Tribolium castaneum: one gene and its partners. The protein of the gene in region 4 interacts with the protein of the main gene of each other region in a pairwise test. Links are inferred from orthologs where the notes say so. Each region holds a gene or a part of one and is shown on either strand. Other genes may lie near its edges.

The links.
Region 1: the proteins of lwr (region 4) and dac interact in a two-hybrid assay, tested with the Homo sapiens proteins (2 studies listed by BioGRID and IntAct). The link is inferred for Tribolium castaneum from reciprocal best matches to the Homo sapiens genes UBE2I and DACH1.
Region 2: the proteins of lwr (region 4) and Med interact in binary tests that used the Homo sapiens proteins (3 or more experiments, as listed by UniProt). The link is inferred for Tribolium castaneum from reciprocal best matches to the Homo sapiens genes UBE2I and SMAD4.
Region 3: the proteins of lwr (region 4) and Rrp45 interact in a two-hybrid assay, tested with the Homo sapiens proteins (2 studies listed by BioGRID and IntAct). The link is inferred for Tribolium castaneum from reciprocal best matches to the Homo sapiens genes UBE2I and EXOSC9.

The regions. Positions count from the first base shown.
Region 1 is NC_087402.1:1,975,661-1,980,176, forward strand, and holds the end of dac (dachshund homolog 1), read right to left. Parts: intron 2,489-4,516; coding exon 2,355-2,488; 3' UTR 1,507-2,354; downstream 1-1,506. UniProt on the Homo sapiens protein: Transcription factor that is involved in regulation of organogenesis. Seems to be a regulator of SIX1, SIX6 and probably SIX5.
Region 2 is NC_087403.1:6,335,009-6,341,175, forward strand, and holds the end of Med (mothers against decapentaplegic homolog 4), read right to left. Parts: exon of another isoform or gene 6,110-6,167; coding exon of another isoform or gene 6,097-6,109; intron 6,014-6,096; exon of another isoform or gene 5,942-6,013; coding exon of another isoform or gene 5,923-5,941; coding exon 5,669-5,922; intron 5,606-5,668; coding exon 5,245-5,605; intron 5,126-5,244; coding exon 5,003-5,125; intron 3,156-5,002; coding exon 2,506-3,155; intron 2,461-2,505; coding exon 2,322-2,460; intron 2,075-2,321; coding exon 1,863-2,074; 3' UTR 731-1,862; downstream 1-730. UniProt on the Homo sapiens protein: In muscle physiology, plays a central role in the balance between atrophy and hypertrophy. When recruited by MSTN, promotes atrophy response via phosphorylated SMAD2/4.
Region 3 is NC_087402.1:3,055,658-3,061,128, forward strand, and holds Rrp45 (uncharacterized protein Rrp45), read right to left. Parts: upstream 3,079-5,471; 5' UTR 2,932-3,078; coding exon 2,857-2,931; intron 2,809-2,856; coding exon 2,714-2,808; intron 2,672-2,713; coding exon 2,228-2,671; intron 2,013-2,227; coding exon 1,791-2,012; intron 1,748-1,790; coding exon 1,488-1,747; intron 1,443-1,487; coding exon 1,369-1,442; 3' UTR 1,299-1,368; downstream 1-1,298. Other genes in the region: histone deacetylase complex subunit SAP30 homolog, read left to right, coding at 686-856, 905-1,120, 1,168-1,296; RpL21 (large ribosomal subunit protein eL21), read left to right, coding at 3,354-3,833; Usp12-46 (ubiquitin carboxyl-terminal hydrolase 46), read right to left, coding at 4,507-4,614, 4,671-4,814, 5,026-5,361, 5,416-5,471. UniProt on the Homo sapiens protein: Non-catalytic component of the RNA exosome complex which has 3'->5' exoribonuclease activity and participates in a multitude of cellular RNA processing and degradation events.
Region 4 is NC_087399.1:9,252,191-9,258,269, reverse strand, and holds the start of lwr (SUMO-conjugating enzyme UBC9-B), read left to right. Parts: upstream 1-1,412; 5' UTR 1,413-1,560; intron 1,561-1,612; 5' UTR 1,613-1,619; coding exon 1,620-1,685; intron 1,686-1,734; coding exon 1,735-1,818; intron 1,819-1,870; coding exon 1,871-2,133; intron 2,134-6,079. Other genes in the region: transmembrane inner ear expressed protein, read left to right, coding at 1,189-1,274. UniProt on the Homo sapiens protein: Accepts the ubiquitin-like proteins SUMO1, SUMO2, SUMO3, SUMO4 and SUMO1P1/SUMO5 from the UBLE1A-UBLE1B E1 complex and catalyzes their covalent attachment to other proteins with the help of an E3 ligase such as RANBP2, CBX4 and ZNF451.

The DNA of each region.
Region 1 (4,516 bases), on a different chromosome or scaffold from region 4:
AGCTTTTATATTTATCTCCGCGTTTCTAAAATACTGCACCAAAGATAATAAAGCACGTTAATAAAAACAAATTTAACTTTATATCCCCGGCGCTTCTATCAAACAGATCTAGCAAATTTTAATTTTCTTTAATCAAAAAATGTAAATTTAATACAGAGAATCTAATCGAATTAAAATTCACTTGGAAGTGTCGAAAACACCATCAAAACACGCTTTCGCTCGCACCGGTTTGTTTATTTTCCGCGAAAATCAGATTCATTAACCATCGACTGATTAAAACGCGGCTGCATTCGATGACGAGATCACACTTTCCTCCAAGATCAAAAATTATTTACGGCGTAATTACACCGACCACGGAACACTAAATTATTCCACGAGTGTTAATTGCCACCAACCATAAGGGCACAAGCGCTACTATTTCATTACAACACATAAATAACCCTAAAGGGATACAGGCCCTATTTACTCACACTATTCTGACATATCGCCGAGTTGCAGACGCCTTTTATGGCTCATTTCATTAATTCCGGCCAGATCTAGATCTATTTACAGATAAGATAAAGACGCTACAGAGTGAGCAAGCAAAATATCATCGATTAAACGCAGACCAGTTCTTAAAAATCGTCAATTTGGCGCGAGTCCTTCGCTTTGATTTTCAACAAACAATCCGTCAGATTGCGTTAAATTAATCGAATACGAAGCAATCAACAGTAAATTTAAGAAAACAAGTAGTAATAGCAGCTCCAGCGGCTGCTGTTGTAGGGAGAGACAATCTCTCGCTTGACTGCTTGCACTGATTACGCCTCTGTGACTTCAATATGCTAATTCTTGTATATATTATCAGGATTCATTGGAATCATGGGCTGGACATTGCGATCTGTTTGTCGGTGTTCATTAATTCTGGCTCAGGGACACCTCACACCTCTTATATTAGGTTTCTGTTAATTGTCCTGTATAAGGGCGCAACCTTCGGATTTTTATTGATCACAATAACGACGTTATTTGATTGATGAGATTGATGATTGTGGCAATTAAATTAATTGGGGAAGTGAATTAATTAATGAGTTACCTACGTCACTTAACTACTTAAGCTCGCGTATTTTTTTTAATTTTTAGATCGGGGAAATTGAATTACGATGCGTAATTAGACAGACAGTGTGAAGATAGATGTTTGGTATTCGTACAGCTATTAGACGTTTTAGCTGTCATTAAAGGAAAGTGTAAAGCAGTCAGGAAGTTCTTTTTGCAGAATTGCTAATAATTAGCCGACGATTTGATCAGTTCGCTTAGATGTTGTTACGGATGTTGGCAAGCAGTGATTTGCATATTGATGCTTTGTGATTTTAATTGCAAAATTTTGCATTTAAAAGGCAGAGAACAAGGGTTATGCCATCATAAAATAAATAAGTAGTGGCACGCCGCAGATCTTTGATCTTTGCCTTTGATCAAATCAGCTATTATTAAAAACTCACATAAATTCTAGGGGAAGAAATGTGAAGAAAATGGTTTCGAAATTTTTATGTTTTATTTTCTACAAGGCACACACATACATTTATTTACAATAAATACATACACACTGCCTCTTACATAGTCTAACACGAACAGTTTATAAACTAGCCTACTTATGATACAAGCAAGTAAGAAAAAAACTGTGCTATATTAAGAACACTACCGTTCGTACAATTTGTGGTTCAGTATTGCACCTAATCTGAATAATACTGAGTGTAAACAAACGACAATATTGATATTTGAAAAATTTCTGACAATGATTGTCAAAATGGCGTATACTTTTCGTCAGAAAATCCTACACTGTGTAAAACATTTCAGATTACGAAATAATGTACAAATGAATTTTATGTTCATATCATATCGTAGAAAGTTCACATGGATATGCAAAACTTTAACTTTATAAAAATTTTAATATACAATCTTCTATTCTGCGTTGTTACATGAAAAATGACTTTTCTACAGGTTTATACTGACGCTCATATGTACATGTAAAGCGGAGATATTTAATTAGAATAATTCCAAACAGTCATAGTAAAGTAATTGGGTTGGATTACAAAATAGAAATTATATACAGGTGTGTTTATGTACACGAAGTGCGAATTCTGAGCAATAAGAAAAGTTAAGTACTGAAATTGTTATCGTTCCTCTCCATGCCCAAAATCAGTCTTAAAAATCAAACAATCACTAACTGATATGCTCCACGACACTGGACGTATTTTAAGGAAAAAACTTAATATCTCGTTTAAAACGAATGCATAATACCAATCGAAACATTGCTAAGCACTGTACGCTCTGATCTAAAACCTACTTTATACTTTTATCTAAGCAAAACTCGTACGTTATGTTTATGTAGCCGTGCTTGTGAACAGCATGGAATTTTTGTAATACCCGGAACGATCTTGAAGCGGTGACTTCACGTCTCTCTCAACTTGTTGCTGCCGGGATTTTCTCTCCAATTCGAGTTCTTGTGCTAAGGATTCTGCAAAAAGAAAACGGTTTACTCAAACACAAAGTTTTACATTTTTAAAACTTTAAACATTGATTTAGACCAATTAGTTCGTGGGATTGTCTAAAGTCTATTTTTCAGGAGCCTTTATTCTATATTTTGGTTTCGAAAAACTGTAATTATTAATTTTTTCAAATAAACAAGCACTAGAATCGATAATTTTATTTGAATCTTCGGCGAAAATCACGTTCTGTAAGAAAGACCAGCCCTTGAATCTGTTGTGTTTTATTTGTTCCTGAAATGTGTAATTTGACCAATCAAAATATTAAAATCACCTCCTACTTGTTTATCAGGTGCACAAAAAATTTCAAGACGATTGAAGCGTTTGTCATTGGATATGGGAGGGAGATTGCACTCCCAATTGTAAAGCGGGCCAATCATAAGGCGATTAAAACTCAGCAAAAAACTGTTGTTTGATTATTTCCTAAATGTCGGCCAAAGCAACTAGAATTTCGCTGTTTTCTATGAAAATTACAATATTTCTATTACACTTGAGTTCAGAAATCGTGGATAAATTGTGGATCGATTTGTTTTTGATAAAGATTATTTCTCGCAATTAGTTCGTCTTCAAACTCAAACATTTCGTACGTTTATGAGCAAAAACTCAATTGTTTCGCAAAATTTTCTCACAAAACTCACAAATGTACCAATTTAGGTCAAAAATCTTTATGTTTTTAGTTATTAACTTGGGAATTTCATATTTATGATTTATGTTTTTATTTAGACAATTTGATGATCTCTGAGAAGCAAAAACAAAAAATTGTGTGCTACATTTAATTTTTTTACAAACTTCTCATTTGTTTATGAGTGTTTCCAGTCTTTCAATCTCATAGTTTCTTAGTGTTTCCCATATTTTATATTCATTTCTTTTTTTTTGTTTTTCGTTGTTTCACTGTCTCTACAGTTTTTTAGCTTTCTTCTGTACAACCTTTTTAGCTTCCTAAGAGTCTAGTCTCTTATTTTTAATTTATCTTAATGACATTGTAAACTATTGTGATTGTGATTTTGTTAATTTGTTTGCCGATGACACATTGGTAGCATGCTATGACACTGATCTTGATAAATGTATTCAAAAAATGAACAAGGCTCTCGAAATACTTGAAAAATATTTTAACACAAATAAACTTAAAGTAAACGTGTCCAAAACTAAAACTATAATTTTTACAACTAAATATAAATACAACCAAATTGATTTTGCCAACATTAATTTAAGCATATATAACATAACTGTAGAGTTTGTTAATAAATGTAAGTATTTAGGATTTTACCTAGATAGCTTGCTCGATTTTGAGAGTCATCTCGATTATGTTTGTAAAAAAATTAGGACGAAATTGTTTTTTTTCTTAAGAATATCTACGCATGTGTCAATGCAAACAAGAATTTTAATTTACAATTGTATTGTCCAACCACATTTTGATTATTGTGCCACACTTATGTACCTGCTACGGCCTAGTCATGTTGTACAACTGCAAAAGCTTCAGAATAGAGGAATGCGTATAATTTTAAGATGTAACCGCTTAACACCTATAAAATGTATGTTATCGGCCCTAATGTGGTTTTCTGCGACGCAACGACTGTATTATTCTACCATGATTTTTGTATATAAAATAATTAAGCTTGGAGTACCAGAGTATTTCAGTGAATATCTTATTTGCAGAAATAGTGTACACAATTACCAGACTAGGGATTCTTCCAAAATTAATGTTCAAAGTGTAAATTACCGACAAACAATGTTATCTTTATTTTTTAAGGGTATTAATGAATATAATAAGTTACCAAACAATATTAGAAATGCAGGTACCCTATCTATATTTAAATCAAAAATCAAAGATTATGTGAAGATAAGTGTGCAATAAGTGTGACTTGTATCCACTAATGTAATTTTTTATTTTTTTTATTTTTTAACTATTGTAACTAGGTTTCCTATTTAATTAATAAATTCTTCTTCTTCTTCTCTATAATATAGTGGAGGATAAGTTGGAAATAAAATAGATAAAGGGT
Region 2 (6,167 bases), on a different chromosome or scaffold from region 4:
AGTTTCACCTTTACGTTCATCTTTTTTTCTCTCAAAACAAAAGGTATTTTCTCTTTATTTGCATGTGCCCATACGTTTACAATTTGGCGTTTTTACGTACTTTTACCTTTTGCCGCATTATTTTCTTATTTCTGTCAGTTTTATGCACCGCTTTTCGTTTATACGTCTATGTGTTCTCTCAATCTCTTATTTTTGTTTACATGTTGTTTACTTACCTTTTCTATACTTTTTTTCATAGAAAATTTTTTACACCTGATCCGGGTTCGAACACCCGACCTCCCCCGTCGAAAGTAGCGCTTATACCACTAGGCCACCAGGCCCCAGGGACTGACCGTCTTTTGCAGATATTTTAACACAAACTTTTTAAATAAATCAACATTACAAACTATACAGGCTCGTCCAAGAGTAATAATGAGCCTGAAAAAATTTTTGAGTCAACCAACATTACATTAAAAGATTGTCGGACCTCAGCCACAATTTGAAAACTCAATCTTTTGCGAGATTGTGTTACGTGGTGCCAAACCATATATAAGTAAATTGGGTCACCAAAATATTATTCTTTTCTATAGGCGTTTTGTTAAGTTCAACAAAAAACACAATTTTGTCAAATTATTATTTATTATTTATTAATTTTTTTATTGATGCCGCGACTGACAATTTGATGGCGAACACTTTAGGTCGGCCAAGGAGAGTAATAGGCAATTGTTAAAGGGTAAAATAAAAATAGCTCTATATGTAATATTTTATTATTTTAAAATTATTTGACTTGTAATTTATACGTTCTTGTAAATACAACACTTAAACATAAATGTACATTTCATTATGCAGTCAAAAAAATGTATTAAAATATGTATATATCAACAATTTCCAAATAAAATATAGTGAAAGGTTAAAAATTTATAATACTCAATACATGTTTTCATAAACACTTATAATAATTTTGTATATTTACAAGAATTATTTTTACATTTTAGGTATTTACATAAAACCATAAATAAATGATTGGATCCTGTGCTATTTTAAATGTCAAGTGAACTGCTTATAAATAAACAAAAATAAGCAATCAAACGCATGATTTCTGTGATCTCAGCACATCGTTACTACCTACTTGAACTGTAAAAAACTTAATCACGAATGTAGTAAAAATTTTGGTAACAGCATGTTGTTTCTTGTTATGTGAGATCTTTTGTGGAATGATGAAGCATTTACTCCACAAGTTTTAAATACAATATTATGCAAATAAAATGTCAATTACATGTCATAATGGCGTAATTCTCAAAAAAGTAGCATACATTGTGTCAGACAATATCTATATTATACCTATCTACATTTACACAGCAAATGAAAAAATTGCAGTTTGTTAGGTACTTGTGACAAGAAAAATACAAAAAGAGGTTCCTTAAATAAGACATTCAGTACCACACTAATATCAAGCAACAAAAACGAAAAAAACTTACACACTACTCAGTTTTTCACAGCCTAATGTACATATTTACCCTTATCATTTCGTGTGCGATTACTACTTCAAATTTGGCATCCATCTTCTACAAAATAAAATGGCACAAACCAATTGAAAAAAGGTAATTTTATGAAAATATATGAAAAGTTCTGTCCGACTGTAAGGCAATTGTTTGCAATATATTTACAAAATATATATTCATGTAGAAAATAAGTGATTATCACTACAAACTTATTAAATTAAGTATTATATAAGCGTAATTTACAAACTTATAAACTACTCACTTACAAAATATTTTGTCAAACTTGCCGCCGTCAAATCGTGCCAAACATAAAATTCGGAATTGACAACAATCGTTGTTTGCCCACCGAACTACCAAAAGGGGATCAAAATATTCACACAATTACTCTATCCCACGGGGTCCATCAATCGGCATAGTATGAAGCACTTCGTCCAGCAGTTGCAGAGCGCGGTGCAGGTGGATTTCAACCCAACAAGGCGTTTCTTTAATGGACTGTCGAGGATAATCCGGGCCCCAACCTTTCACAAAACTGAGGCGCAGGATGCACAGTCTTCGCAAATCGTCAACCCCTATTCCCGTGGCTGCCGACAAACCTAAAAGATAACATCCCTTTTAACCTCTTTAACCCTCTCAGGGGGTGATTAACTACATTCGATTGCATTGTCATGCAGATTACGTAAGTATGCAAAATTTCAATTCATTTGGACAACAGAAACCGTTTCAAATTTGTCCCGGAAAATATGAAACAGACAGGCAGACAACAAAAGACCAATGAATGTGAGTTCAGTAGAAAATTTTACATAAAAATAAGTATTGTAAAAAAATGAAATAAATAATTACTTATGGCTGGCGCTATCCCGCCGACTGAGTGCGGTCCAGGGATGTGCCCCGCCACCGCCGCCGCCTGTGCCGCCGCCGCTGCCTGTGCTGTGGCTGCCTGAGTTGTCATCTGGTTGTGACACTGCCTTAGATCAAAGACCTGCAACGGCAATTAAAACCCCGATTTTCCGACGTGAAACAATACCTTTATGTAGGCTGACGGGTAAATTTTGTGTACGGCATCGCCGGGTTGTCGTCCAGCCTCCCTATCCAGATAATAACTCTGGACGAAAACGGAATGGTCACTTAAGCAGCGCAACCAAACGTCGCCTTCGCCCCTTAAATCTAACTGAACCCCCTTGCCAATGTGCAGTCTCGCTCTCTCGCTTTGGTCCGTCCTGTGCACATTACTCAACGCACCAAGGCAAAACCGGTTGCCTCCAGAGGGGTCGACGTAGCCGTCAATTGTCACATTCGGGCAGCTTGAGGGTACTTTGAACGTTTCACCCACTTGAGTGTCCAGCTCGAAGTAGGCGACGGAACACCAGTACTCGGGGGCTGGCTGGGTGGACAACAGACCAGCGATGTTTACGTCGTTGCATTGGTTTGTGTTCCAGTAAGCTGTGTGATGGGTGCGGTTATCAGGGGGCTGCATTGATTGGGTGTAGGTTAACGTATTAGATCCTGTCCAAGTACCACCAGCCCCAGTGAACGATTGGCCCATGGTAGCCGTAGCCGCGGGTTGGCTGCCGCTTATGGTACCACCGTTGTTGTTAACAACAGCAGTTGTCGTATGGGTGGAGTTGTTGAACCCGTTTTGTTGCAAATGGGGCGACACGGGAGGGTTACTCCCACCTAATATCGGTTACAATTAGAAGATGAATAACAGTAATTTGCACAAAATTTAAATAAAACACGCGTCTCTAAAAAATACTACTTCAAACTCACTCACACAATAAATATTATTACTACCTTTAAAGAATTTTTTTTTTTCGTTCAAAGCGTCGCCGAAACTTTCCTGTTCATTTAATTCTAATTTTTGTGTCTTGTAGTAAATAATTATAAGCTGTCACGAAAATGAAAGCATTGTCACCAAAATAAATATTTGTTAAGAAACAAAATATTACATAAAATCAATCTATATTTTTTTTCCCCGTAAGTGATTGTGAATGTGCGTACATATCTAATAAATCTCTTAAATCCGAAAAATAATTGTTTTCAAAATTTTAGTTTTATCAGAAAATAAATTTGTTTGATTTCATCAACTCCATATAAATAGAAGTATCGATGCAGCAATTGTTTTTTTTTTCAGTTTTTAATGTAACTTCACTACCGTGTATAAAAATTTTAGAGAAATATCAACAGTAATCAGACAAAATAATGTATTATGAAACAGTTTATTTATTTTATACAATTTTTATATTTATAAAATAATAGGTTACAAAATGGTCCTCCAAAAAAATTTTAATTTTATTCCAGACTTTTGATGTGTACTGTATATTTGGTATCAATTTGTAAATTTTCTGACTGTTGTAACGAAACATCTTAAGCTATGAAATTAGACCTACATTGTATTCTGTTGTTTCCAGACACTGATAAAATGGAACTTCCTTATACCTGAATCCTGGTTTCTAATTTCTAAGTACCTATCAGGCACAGTTCAGGGAACAATAAGATTATTGACTTCTTTCAAAGAAAACTTTCACAAATTTAAGAGATTAAAATATTAGCCACGCGATCTTTTACAATTTACGACCTTTGTAACCGAAGTGTGAACACAGGTACAGCTACAGACTGAGTGTGGACCCTGCCCAGAGTACATTACTGGTTGTTCTCAGAAAAGAATAATAAGTACTAAAAACCAACTCGCTAGTTTACTCCAAGTGAAAATATTATTTTTGTAGTATTTTTTTGGAAAACTCCGTTTTTGTAACAGAACTAAGAAAAATCGATCAATAAAAGTTTAGCTCAACATCACCAATAATAAAAACTAAACGTCAAAAATGAAATCAAATATTTTTTATATTTAAATTTGTAATCTAGCCCAAGTGAGATAATGTTTCGAAAATTGTCGAACACCCCGCTAACTGATAATAATTCCAGGTGATCTATTACCTTTAAAAGTTTTTTTGAGTTTAGAATATTAACAGTCGTTCGGGATTTAAAAACGTCGACAAATAATAAATTATGTACACTTCTATCGTTTTTAATAAAAGAACGCTTGCTGTATTTTATAATTTAATAATTCATAATATAATGAGGGATCAAATTATTTATTTTGTTCACGATTTTCGTTTCTACTTAACTTATAAAGTTAAACTGAAGGTACATTTTGAAATAATTTAGTGTTGGCATTTTGAAAACAAAACAATTATTCGGTAATTTTAAATCATCTTTACCAAGTTGCTGGAACACCCGGTATAAACACCAAATCTTGTGTGTTTGTTGGAAGAACTCACTACTTTATCTTCACGTAGCAATTAACTGAACACTAACATTGAGTACAATCGATAAAATGAAGTCACCGGAAAAGCATTTACTAAGTGGAAATTTGAAGTTAAGGTGTAAGAAAAATATTTAAAACGATGCAATAGTAGTAACACTGAGACGGGCGTTTTTTTGTACGAACTAGACTAAACCTACAATACGAGTAACACAACAGTGCTTTGAGAAAATGCAAAATAAAACAAAAAGAATCTTACGATGAGGTATATGCATGTGCGGTAACCAACTAGATCTGGAACATGCGTCAACTCCCCCTTCAATTTTAGGTACGGGATGTCCCATAACTGGTCTGTTTGGTGAATTATACATTCCCTGTTCACCTACCACAACAACGAAAACATAACATGCATAACTAAAAATACGAAAAGTGGGTTCTTAAAATAAAAAGTCTTCGAATCAGAGAATACAATAGACTAGTGAGTGAGAACACGCAGCTTACTTGTGGAAGGTGCCTGAAGTCCGCTCAGGGCGAAATTCTGCTGTGGGGGCTGGTGTTGGATGGTCTGGGAGACTTCAATGCCGATTTCGCTGTCTACGTCCATACTGCCTCCAGGGACCGGTCCAGCGGTGTACTCATCTTTCACTAATCGAGCGGTTCCAGATTGCAACGTAAGTCCAGAGAGGTCAATGCCGGGGGACACTACCCGTTCGTAATGGTACGGATTCACACATACTGAGTCACATTTTAAATCAAACGCAAACTGACAATATTTCACGTGTTTGAGTTCGTTTTTGTGGAGGTCGGGCCATCGCCAGATTCGAGCGTAGATAACGTGCGGAAAGCCCTTGCGTCCGGCAACCTAAACAACACAGAAACTGTAGCAACAACGCTTGAGAGAATTGCAAGGAAAGCTTGTGTGTACCTGCAGGCGGCCGTCGAGAGTCCTCTGGATCGTGACGCACTTGCTCGGATGTGCCCCACTGGTGGTTATAGCAGTGATAAGCGAGTCTAGTTCATCCCTTTTCTCTTTTAGCTTTTTCACCAGGGACTCTATAGCACGTTTGGCGAAGCCTTCGCTTTCTCCCCCTTGTCTGTGGCACATGAGACTGTGCACAATGCTCAGGCAAGCGTCAGCCGATGAGGGTGCTGTTGTGGCTAACCCTGACATATCTCCAACTACAAAAATGACCACCATAAATACAAAATTGTCAACAGTCTCGCATCTCGGGAAGTGGACGAAACGATGCAAGTGATAAGACAGTGATTGCTGAAAGCGTGCTGTTACCGATTTTGTAAATAAACAATAACAAAAACAAAAATAGATGATTATGGTTGACACTAGAAGCCTACCTTGGGGACGCATAAAAACCCCGGAAATGTTCGTGCAGAGTAGACTTTTCGATACAAATAAGTGGAAGAAA
Region 3 (5,471 bases), on a different chromosome or scaffold from region 4:
GGAAAAGAGCGAATCGCGGAAGCAGGAAATGAACTACGCTAGATAAAGCAGCTGGACGAGATGAACAGACCTCATAAGATCCACTAAACTAAATTCTTTCATGCATATTTTGAATTCTCCTAATTTTTTATCTGTTTCCGAATTACTTTTGCATCGGATTGTTGCAACGAGTAGAAACCGTATACGATAATTCGTACTTCAAAACACTTATCTTATATAATTATTTTGTCCTATCGTTTTTATTCTTAATTTTCTCACATACCCACATTTTTTTCCAAAATTTTTAAGTGCATTTGGAACTGAATAGGGACACACGGACGTATTTTAGGAATAATAAAAAACGAGTTTAAAAAATTACGCTTTATGGTCGGCAACCAATTTTACGCCGGTGACTGTACGTTGCCTGGCTAAGCCAAACGTTGTATAAGTGATGATTACCTAATGCAGATGTCGCTTTTTCCCAAACAAACAAAACGCCTTAAAACCCCCTCTCAGCCCCCTCGAGGCCCCAACTCCAGTCAAATAGTGGTTTTGTGTAACCATATGATCATTTCGGTTTAATTTGGCTTTTTATTTATTGTGTCGGTGCGGTTAAAACGTCGAGTATCGTGTAAGAGATGTGCAGAACAGTCGTCCCAACTGGCATCAGCACCCAAATTATATAAATACGTACCCACTTCGAATAATGAACGGATTTAGTACGGGCGAGGAAGATTCAAGAGGACCCACTGATCAAATCTGCTGTTTGATAGACAATAGTGAACGTTGTAACAAAATCGCCGGTAATGCTTCATACAGCAAGCGCATCCAGAAGACAGTGACGCAAAGGAGGTTAAATTTGTGTATTGATAATTCAGTAAGTCGAACGCAAAGTTCAATCGGAAAATTATTGTTGTTTTGCCAGGCGAAGCATATTTACATCTGCGACTTTCACAAGATGATCATCCAGTGTGCAAGGACCAAGAGGAGGAGGAAGGATTCGGAGGATGACAGCAATGAGACGGACACTGACGTGCCAGAAGTCGACCTGTTTCAGCTAGGAGTCAACACTTTGAGGAGGTACAAAAGGCACTACAAAGTTTCCGCAAGACCTGGACTGAACAAGGCACAACTGGCAGATGTGAGTCGGTTAAAATCCACGTTTTGTATTAATTATTACATTCACAGACTCTAATGAAACACTTTAAGTCGATCCAAGTCAAGGAGAAGGAAGTTGTCACATTTTTTATTTATACAGTCAAAACAAACAGCAATAAGCTTGACCAAAAGAACGGTGTGAACAATGACGCCACTTGAAGTTAGGTCCTTAGAAGTTTTATTAAATTATTACACTTTAAGAAAAAAATGCATTTAATAAAAAACCACAAGTTATTTTTTATTTTTGACAGGCCCTAGTATCACCACATCGTCTTCCTCACTGTCTGTTAGGAGTTCGATTTGAACTGAAAAAAAAACATGATTTTAGTTTCAATTAAGTTAAGTAATACCTTTAGGTTTTTCGACTATTATTAAGTCATCGTCACTGTTATTATCAACGTCCCAGACTTCTTTCTTGTTTTCGGTCTGAGGCACATGTTCCACTGACCCTTTGTCAATAACGACCGTATTCTGGGATTGTGGCTGTGCTTTTTTATGTTTTTTATTTCTTTTCTTTTTATTCGTATGCCATGTATCAAGGCTCTGGCCAAAGACTAGAGTTGTTTTGAAATTATCTTCAGTATGAAAGCCTACCGAAGCCTTCTCTTGCCTGAAATTTAATTTATAACTCGGCAACATGTTGTTGGTTTTACCTTTGTTCAGTATCGGCCTTAACTGATTTTTTTATTTCTTCTATCACAACAGTAGCTCGAGATGTGGCTTTAGAAACTGTACTCAGGATAATACTTGGTGCAAGTTCAGCTTTTCCCCCTAAATGTAGGGCACACAGTTCTTTAAAGCCGTTGAGGCCTATTGTTAGCATTGCATCTGCGGAACCTTCCTCAAGTAGTGACGGGTCCGCAAGAATATACTCCCTAAGAGAAAAAAACTGCAAGTCCTTTTAATAAAATGCTCATTTTTTACGGATAAACGCTGCGAATACACGCAAAAAAATGTTGTAGAGAATTAAATTTCCTACAAGCAAGTCCGCAAATTGAAAATTCTAAGTGATAATTCGTGCAGCTAAAGTATTTTTTGTGGATAACATGATAATACAAGCTTTCAATTAAATTTTCAAAAGGTGTTTTACCCTCCATTAAAAATAGCGTATGTTATGCAGACTGGATAGTGGTGTATAACCGTAGGAATGGGGTCCCTTTGTTGGTAACTGTGAATGATGAATTCTTCGCCATCACAAGTGACATCGGGGCGCCTAAAATGAGTCAAAGAAGCCAACATGGCGATCGAGGCGCAGTCCAGAATATTCCCCTCATGGTTTAAAACATTAATATCCACCTTCAAAGCCCATACTTTTTCGTTGGTTTTAATGCACAATGATTCCAAATCAACAGCTTTAGAATCTTTAACACATTTTTCCAAAAGTCGGTTCAACTGCACTGACAATTCCGACTGTCTGCCCGCTTCGAAATGAGGGGCTGCCAGTGGGTTCAACTCGATATTTATGTTTAGAATTCCTTCACTAGGTCGTGAAGACTTGGGTTGTTGGATTTCGCATGATGTTTGAGCTAAAACTCTATTCCTTTACTGAAGTCAGTGTTTCATAAGTGAAGGTTACTTTGTGTTGCCGAGAGAAACGTAACAGGAACCCCACTGTTTGCCAAATTTCAGCTCTAGTGGCCTGAACTCGTCAAAACTTCGACCATCTAACCTCTAAATGGAAGATGGAATTAAATTGTAAATTAAATGTGCCGCTTTTACCCTCCACTCCGACAAGCATTTCATCAAAAACTTTCGTTCACAGTTTGTAATAAGTGTTTCCCGTACTTTCGACATTTTTATTTTCAAATTTCAAAATATTTTTTGTAACAAAGAAGTGTGGTTAGAAAAAATACATCGGCAATACAGGAATCTATATTTTAAACAATACACTTGGTGGCTTTTTACACATTTTTGCACAACAAATGGACCGGTGTTTACCACAAAATGCCTGTTATATTATCAATTTGATAATACAAACCAAATTTAATAAATAATTTACGATTTATAAAATAGGATAGAGGTCGCTAGAAAAAGACTCAAGCGGAAATTGCGTCCGCCATTTTCTTCCTCTTTAAAACGTGTTCTGTAAGGCAGGTAGGTTAAGCACAAAAATCATGTTTATTTCATAATTTTGATAAAATTGAACTACAAATAAACGTTACAGTGTTGAGATATTGGTCTTATAATAACTTGTGCCCTTTTTGCAGGTCTGAAAAATGACGAACTCGAAAGGTTATCGTAGGGGAACCCGGGACCTGTTCTCTCGGAAGTTCCGCAAGCATGGGGTTATCCCCCTGTCGACGTACATGAAAGTGTACAAAGTCGGCGATATCGTGGATATTAAGGGCAATGGAGCCGTTCAGAAGGGCATGCCCTACAAGGTGTACCATGGGAAAACTGGCCGTGTGTTCAATGTGACGGCTCACGCTTTGGGTGTGATTGTTAACAAGCGTGTTGGGGGCCGTATTATCCCCAAACGTATCAATATCCGTATTGAGCACGTGAATCACTCCAAGTGCAGGCAAGACTTCTTGACCAGAGTGAAACAAAACGAAAAATTGCGAAAAGAAGCTAAGGAGAAGAACATTCGAGTGAATTTGAAGAGACAGCCAGCACAGCCAAGGCCTGCACACATCGTCAGTGGGAAAGTACCAGCCGTTCAATTGGCTCCTATCCCATATGAATTTATTGCTTAATTTGTACGCCTTTTGTGTAATAAAGACATAAAACAAATTTGGGTGTTTGAAATGAAACGAGTCAGTGCATTTTTTCAAATATATTTATATCTAACGAATATTTACAGAATAAAAATAAAATCTGCTTAGCAGCATTTATACAGTATGTTCTAGTTTCTCATATAATATTTAAAAGTTGTATAGTATTTGTTAACAAAATAAGAAGAGTGAATTTTACTTTTTTACCGTGTAGGGGACATAATACTCGCTAAATTAGATGCACGGTTTGGTTACCACCTAAGAATTATTGCTAATTGGAATAAATATAAGGTTTGTAAAAAACAAATTAAGTAAACAAGTAAAATTCACCATACAGTCAATTATTCCTATGCTGTTCCACCACAATAAAGTAAATCTTGTTTTCAACATATCGCTATTTATTGCAACAGAACAACAAAATCAACGTCGATTCGTTTCGAAAAGTACGGGTAAATCGCTTTGAAAGAAAAATTTTAGGAAAAAAGTACGGCCGGAAACTACAATATGCAATAAATAAAATATAAATCCAACAATTTTCAGTTTCAAATCATATTTACAGACTTTTTTCATAAACATTACCCGTCCCAATGCAATGAGAGGTGACTTTGTACTTGTATTAAATCCTCTCAATGATTAAGGCAAGGAGCAGCAGAGTTCATAAACTCTCTCGAGACTGGTAAAAAAGGATGTAGCCTGTTTCTGAAGACTTTTGAGTATCAGACGTGAGGCCGTAGAAATCTTCTATTGTTGAAGCGTCTATTTTCTATTCAAAAGCACAATAATAACCATCGGGAATTCTCAAATACGCACTAAACTTACGTCAACTTGGTCGTCGTCAAACAGCAGCCAGAAACCGTGGCTCTTGACTATACTGATGTAGTGGCCTCTGTTAGGTCCGCTTCCGCAATGTATCACAACAGCTACTAAATCGTATAATCGGTCGGGATTAACTGCATCGTCCGACTGAAAACACAATTAAACTGTAGCTCAAACTCAAATTATTAAAATCTCGGACATTTATCTTTAACCGTATTCGCAGTGTTTTGAAAAACACGGAACGAAGCGCAAATTTTGAATAATTTTTCTCTCATGTTTCTTATGAAAATTTTAGTCTATTAAGAGTGCAAAAGCTCAAGTAATTAGTTAACTGGTGGTATTTAAACAAATTGCTTACTGTGTTGAAAAGTCTCAGTTCCAAAGGAAACACAACTCTGTGTGAGACCTTAATGTGCCTGTTGTACTGTTCCATGTACTTGAACCTCTTGAGATGCAATGCAAGAATCATCGGCAGTTTCTTCACCCTCATTCGTTTTTGAGCTTCCTGGTAACTACTGCAGTTATCACACTTAAATTTATTATCGCTACACAGAGTCTCTGTATTACTAAAACACCTCAAACAATGAGTTATACTAGTGTTCTGTTCGATGTCCACTTGTAAATCAAAAAAGTCTTCATCTTTACTGCTCACATTCTCACAATTCAAACACCTAGTTTCACTTGTCAATATACCCTACATGGAATAAAAAATTTGTGAGTTTTAACCCAACAAATCGAACAACAGTACCTGAAAAATCTCGTGTACCCAAGTGGGCTCAGGAGTTGTGTGTGCAGTTCCATTTT
Region 4 (6,079 bases):
GGATAATTCGATTCAATGTGAAAAATAATGTAAGTGTAAATAAACTATTACACAGGTTGTTCCGTCTAAACCCTACATTAGAAGTATTGGGAGTTCTAATGATAGTTATCTGAAAATTTGTGTACAACCATAACCTTTTAGGTCCTGCTTAATAAAAATATTTTCAAAATGGTAGCACTTCCGGTTATATCAGAAGTCACTATCATGTTCCTCATTTTAAACGGAAAGCTATATTTTTTAATGCGTTTTTGAATTACTAGAGTTATTTTAAGGTTCTTTTCATAAGCTCTCACTAAACCTAAATTTATTCGTTTACAAAATATTACAAAATGTTTTTAATTTTTTTTTGGATTTGCACCTTCCAGTTCAAAAACTGATAACTCTACCACTTTTAAAAGATTTTAAATCTTTTTCAGCTTATTTAAAAGAGGAAGCCTAGAACTTTCCTTTGGCGTTTTCAAATTTCTAAAAAAGAATAACAAATAATTAAGTTATAGGTACCTGAAATTGTCCAAACTTAACCTTAAAATTTTTGGGTTTATTAACTTCATTTTCAATTTTAAACACACCAAAGAACAGATAAAGGCCTTCTTTTTTAATTCTCCTAATATGATTTCCAAATCGCTAAACTAACCGAGTTACCAATTTTTTAAGTGACAGGTGCAAATCCAAAAATTTTCAAAAAATCTTAAATATCCTAAAAACGGTAAATTTTAGGTATAGGGAAAACTCTTAAAATAACTCAACTAATCCAAAAACGCAGTGAAAAACATAGCTTTTCATTTAAAATAAGAAAGTTAACAGCGACTTCCGGTATAACCGGAAATGCTGCCATCTTGAAAATATTTTCATTGGCAGAACTTAACGGATTATGATTGACTACCAACTTTTAAAAAATTTCTTTATTAGAGCTTTCAATACTTCTAAAGTAAGGTTTAGACGGAACAGCCTGTAGTTTACCATAAATAACAATAAGCACTGAAACCTTTAGCCTGTATTTGAAGAAAACGCAATTTAAAGTGCACCCTCAAACCAATGTATCTTTATGGGAAAGCCCCGAATCTTTATTTTTTTCTGTATTTGAACTACTGAATTAATTTCTCTTTAGTGTTCTGAACTCCGAAATCGTCAATTTTGAGCCACCTTGTATTTTACGGTTTATTGAACCTAATTATTAATTTTTTGCAGCCTTGAAACTCATTCAGGAGGATTTTGACCAAGAAAATGCCAAGATCCAGGCAAAAGTTGATTTGCAGCAAGTGACGTCGAACTAATCAAATTCGCGCCAATGTTTTTGCCGCCAAATAATTATTACACAAATCCGGGTTTTTGTATTCGTTAAATTTGTTTAAAATCATACACGAAAAGTTTGAATAAATAAATTGTTCTGGAACAAATAATCGGCGACAGGGTGGCCAACACAAGTCGCGTCTGCGCGAATTCCCCTACCTGTTTTCCCAGTTTTTGTCTGTCAACTGTCAAGAAAGCACCGAAGCCCGTTAAATTTTCCTTTAGAGTTTGAATAAGGCCCCATTAAATACCCCAGTGCCCACTTTTAGAGTACGTTTTGGTCATTTCGTGCGATAATTTTGAGGTAGAGCCTGATTTTTAGTTCTAGGATGTCTGGAATTGCTCCCGCTCGTCTCGCCGAAGAACGCAAAGCTTGGCGCAAAGAACATCCTTTTGTGAGTAATTCCTTACAAAATTGCCCTCATGTAATCCATTTCTCCGCAGGGATTTGTGGCCCGACCGTCGAAAAACCCAGATGGCTCTCTAAATCTAATGAACTGGGAGTGCTCAATTCCTGGTAAAAAAGGGGTAAGTTTGTTGCATTGTTTAGTAATTGTTGGGTTATCGCATTGTTGTGTAGACGCCATGGGAGGGTGGAAATTACAAATTACGCATGTTGTTCAAAGATGAGTACCCAAGCATTCCCCCAAAATGTAAATTTGAACCACCGTTGTTCCATCCAAATGTGTATCCGTCAGGTACGGTGTGTTTGTCGTTGTTAGACGAGGAGAAAGATTGGAGACCGGCGATTACTATTAAGCAGATTTTACTCGGAATTCAGGACTTGTTGAATGAACCCAATGTTAAAGATCCAGCACAAGCAGAGGCCTACACAATCTACTGGTAAGTGGTTTTTTTACGGGGTGTTTACATTTGACGTAGTCAAGAGTGCTGTGGATATTGTGATCACGTGATCAAGGAAATTTCGTATCTAGTAATCCATGAAAATGAAAACTTAGTTTCGTAAAGAAAAGGCACTAAGACAATAAATGGACAAGGTTACACTACGGACATCTAAAGGTTAGGATACGAAATACAAATTAGTACAAATAAAGCGTTATTGTCCTCGATAGTTCCGTTAATGTCACCAGAGGGCGCAGTTGATCCATTAGCATCAAAGCCAGTAGATATACTAAAGTAGCGACACGGACCTTGACAGGGCAACAATAACGATTATATACTCTAGAGAGGGCGCAACTATCGAAATTCGACATATACCGCATTATTTACATAAAATGCGTAGCCTTGAAAAGCCTTAGTAAGTGCGTTTTGTCTCTGTTTCTACGTTTAATCTTCACTAAATGAAATTGCTAAAGGGGATGCTCTAAAGAGATATTCGTTAAAGGTCACATTAGATGATAGATTTAAATCGAGAATGTATTTAAACAGGCAGTTTAGTTTTCCAAGGCTCGACATTTTTTGTAATAACGCTGTAATTTTAAAGGTTCGCCAAATTGTCAGTAATTTTGAACATACGTCAAAACTGTCAAGATTCTCTCACTTTTGAAAAATTGGTAAAGAGCACAGTGATTCTGGCGTTCATCTGTAGTTTTACTGTGGTTATTGGTTATGAACAGATTTCATGGAACTTTCAAACCTGTGCTTAAATCACGTAAATAATAAATCGACACCAAAAACATTAAACAAAAGGGCCTCCAGACTGTTCAAAGTCGTCCACATTACGAAGCACGTCTGTGTGAGAATACTGGAAACTCATTCAAACAAAAATTGTTTCAGAAACATAAAGTGTTAGGTACCAACTTGAAAGAGAAATTTCTAAGATACCAAATTTTCAATAAGTATTTCAGGTAGATTTAAACAATACTTCCTTGAAAATTCTTCTAAATTATTAGATTCTGTCCTAATGGGAAAGAATTTAAGACCGCTCTGCTTACACTGACCTTCGTTTCACAAAATTTAATGCATCTAAATCTGGGAATTGTAGCGCATCGAAGTTTGGTGGACTTTTTATAGCCACTTATTTACAGCAACTATGGTATGCAACATTTAAATAATAAAGAGAAATTCAGGTTGTATTATTTCTATTTCTTAGGTAATATCGAGGTGTAAACCGTACCCCAAATTTTGTACACCTGTAATTTAATCATGATTCCTTCTGATTTTTCCCTAAATTTTTAAAGTGATTTCCTTAAAATTTCTTGATTTACTCAATTTTGTACACTGATTTCCTCTGCGGTTTACCTCTCGGGTAATATTGAAAACATTTTCTATTCTTATTGCGAAAAATGTCTTGGTTTCATAGCAGTTGTTAATAGTGTTGAGGGAAAAAATTAAATTTAATTAAAAAAAAATAAATCGACCAATTTAAAATCTTGGAGTAATTACATACGATAAACTGTAAAAACACTTAGAGAGGAGTTTATTAAAATTAGAAATGTAAGTATCACAATTTTTTTAAATCAAACAACTATTATTTTGAAACGTGTTTTTGGCTTTTTCGTTAAATACAAAGTTCAAATTCTTTTAAGGAATGAATTCACTGTTGAAGCGCCAGCACCTTCTTCGAAATGTCCATAAGAGTTGCTGTATTCTGCGCATTCTAAAAGCCTTTCTCATTGCAATGTTCAGTTGAATTTAGGGACGATCTGATTTACTTTTACGTGAGTGAAGCACAAGTTTGAAGGTTTCATGGTATCTGTACACATAAACTGTAATAACCAGGGTGAAATTAAAGACGATCACCGAATTCATTGTTCTGATTCACCAATTTTTCAAACGTGAAAAAATCTTGACATTTTTGACGTACGTTTTTGAATTTTGATGGTGGAGCCATCTGTAGAGTGTATAATCGTTATTGTTGCCCTGTCAAGGTCCGTGTCGCTACTTTAGTATATCTACTGGCTTTGATTAGCATCAGGTTTTCAGAGCAATGAATTTAAAAAAATTGTTGGTAAATTTTTACTTTAGCTACTTCTGGATTTTTGAAAATTTTTTTTTTGCATTTTGCTTTAAAAAGCCTCTAGATCAAAGATATGACCTTGAAAGTTTGTGCAAATGCCCCGTTTTTGAAAAATTCGACCTTGAATGACCTTGACCTAAAAATTTTTTTAAAATTTTTCCTTTAAAATTGTGCCGATTGAAAATATGACCTTGAGAGAATTTTAATTGTGTTGCCATTTGGTCATACATAACATGGGGTCGAATTATACACCTGATAGTTAAAAAAATGTTACACTCAAATTTTGTTAACACTCGCTAATAAATGATATTAACCGTAAATGCAACTACAAATCAAGCACGGCGCCTACAGATGATAACCCGTAGGCTGGGGCTTCGCCCCAGCGAACTAAAAATAAACATACCCCACGAACGATTGAACTCGAAAATGTAGAACTCGAAACGTGGAATAATGGTTTTTATTGAATCTTTATTAAATGTGCACTATGAATTTCTTCACGACCCCATGAAATGTATGTCTAGTGAGACCACGAAGAGGCGGCAACGCTCTCACCGGGAGGGAAAGGTCTAGGTGTGTTATTATTGGTAGGTATGTTAGTACCAAAAAAGTATAATGAAAGATATGCAAAATACCAGAATGAAATACAGCCTCAAAAGCTGAAAATAATCGGTACAAATGGCTAGCCCCAAGTGCAAAATGTGGTAAAAAAAAATGAAAAAATTAACAATGGGGAATTCCGGGGTAAAGCTGTGATGCCGCGGTCCAGAAATGATGTAGACGCTCTCGATGATCTGAGTAGGTCCACAGGAAAAGTGCTTCGGCCAAGTAGCCTTCGTAATGATCTTTGCTACGGCCTGCCCGCGGCATTTTTCTTCGCACTTCCACCCAACATCTTTCGATGTTTTGAGTGTGTGCACCGGTGTTTGGGTCAACGAAATTGAGGGAATGGTTGACTGTGAGGTGGTGATAATGTTCTTGAGACAGACAATCATAAGCTCTCCAACAATCACTCATAATTGTCGTCCCAGGGAGAATTCTTTCCTTGATGATGGAAAGGAGAGTTTCTGATGTGCGATCTGGAATTGCCACAAAGAAAGAGCGTTTCGTTTCACGCTCAATTCCGCCAAACACCCATTGGCCCTCCAGGTATCGGCCCCTGTTGTATTTCCGCTTGCCAATTTTGGTTTCGTCAATCTCAACAGTTTTGCCTTCACCACCAAGAACCTCAGAATGTTGAACAGACCAGAAAATGAAAACTTCCCTAATAAAAGAAAACCAGTCAACCAGTGTTCGAGAACTAATTTCCATTTCATTTGAAATGAAACGACACCTTGGATTGTTTTGAAACAAATACAAGTGCACCAATTTTGCTACTTGTGGTAAAGTTAAATGGGAATGTTCGAAAAAGGTGTCCTTGAAAACCGAAGAAAAAAAATTGCATTTCCGTTTGTTTTTTTTGTTGAATTTTTGGCACCTGAAAACGAAATCGTGCATTTCCAAACGTGAGTTGCACTTGGGGCACTGAATGTGGCAAGGAAAAACATGATGACGAATGAAAAAATTCAAAAGGCGTTGTTGGTCCGCCATGATGTTAAAAAATGTATCAACTTTTAAAGAACAAGTTGTACAATGATTCGCATACGCATACTCACAAGCCGCTGCCTCTGGATCCATTTTTTTCGAATTGAAAACTGAAAATTGTAATTTCTTGAATAACAAAGAAAAACAATTGCACTGGCACAAAAACTACCTTCTTCACCATCAGCAAGTAAAATAGTGATGGTGAAATGCATGAAGGGACATGCGGAAATGCAACTACGCATCTCCCACTTCCGTCAATCAGCGAATCAGAGCACAGAGACATAAATT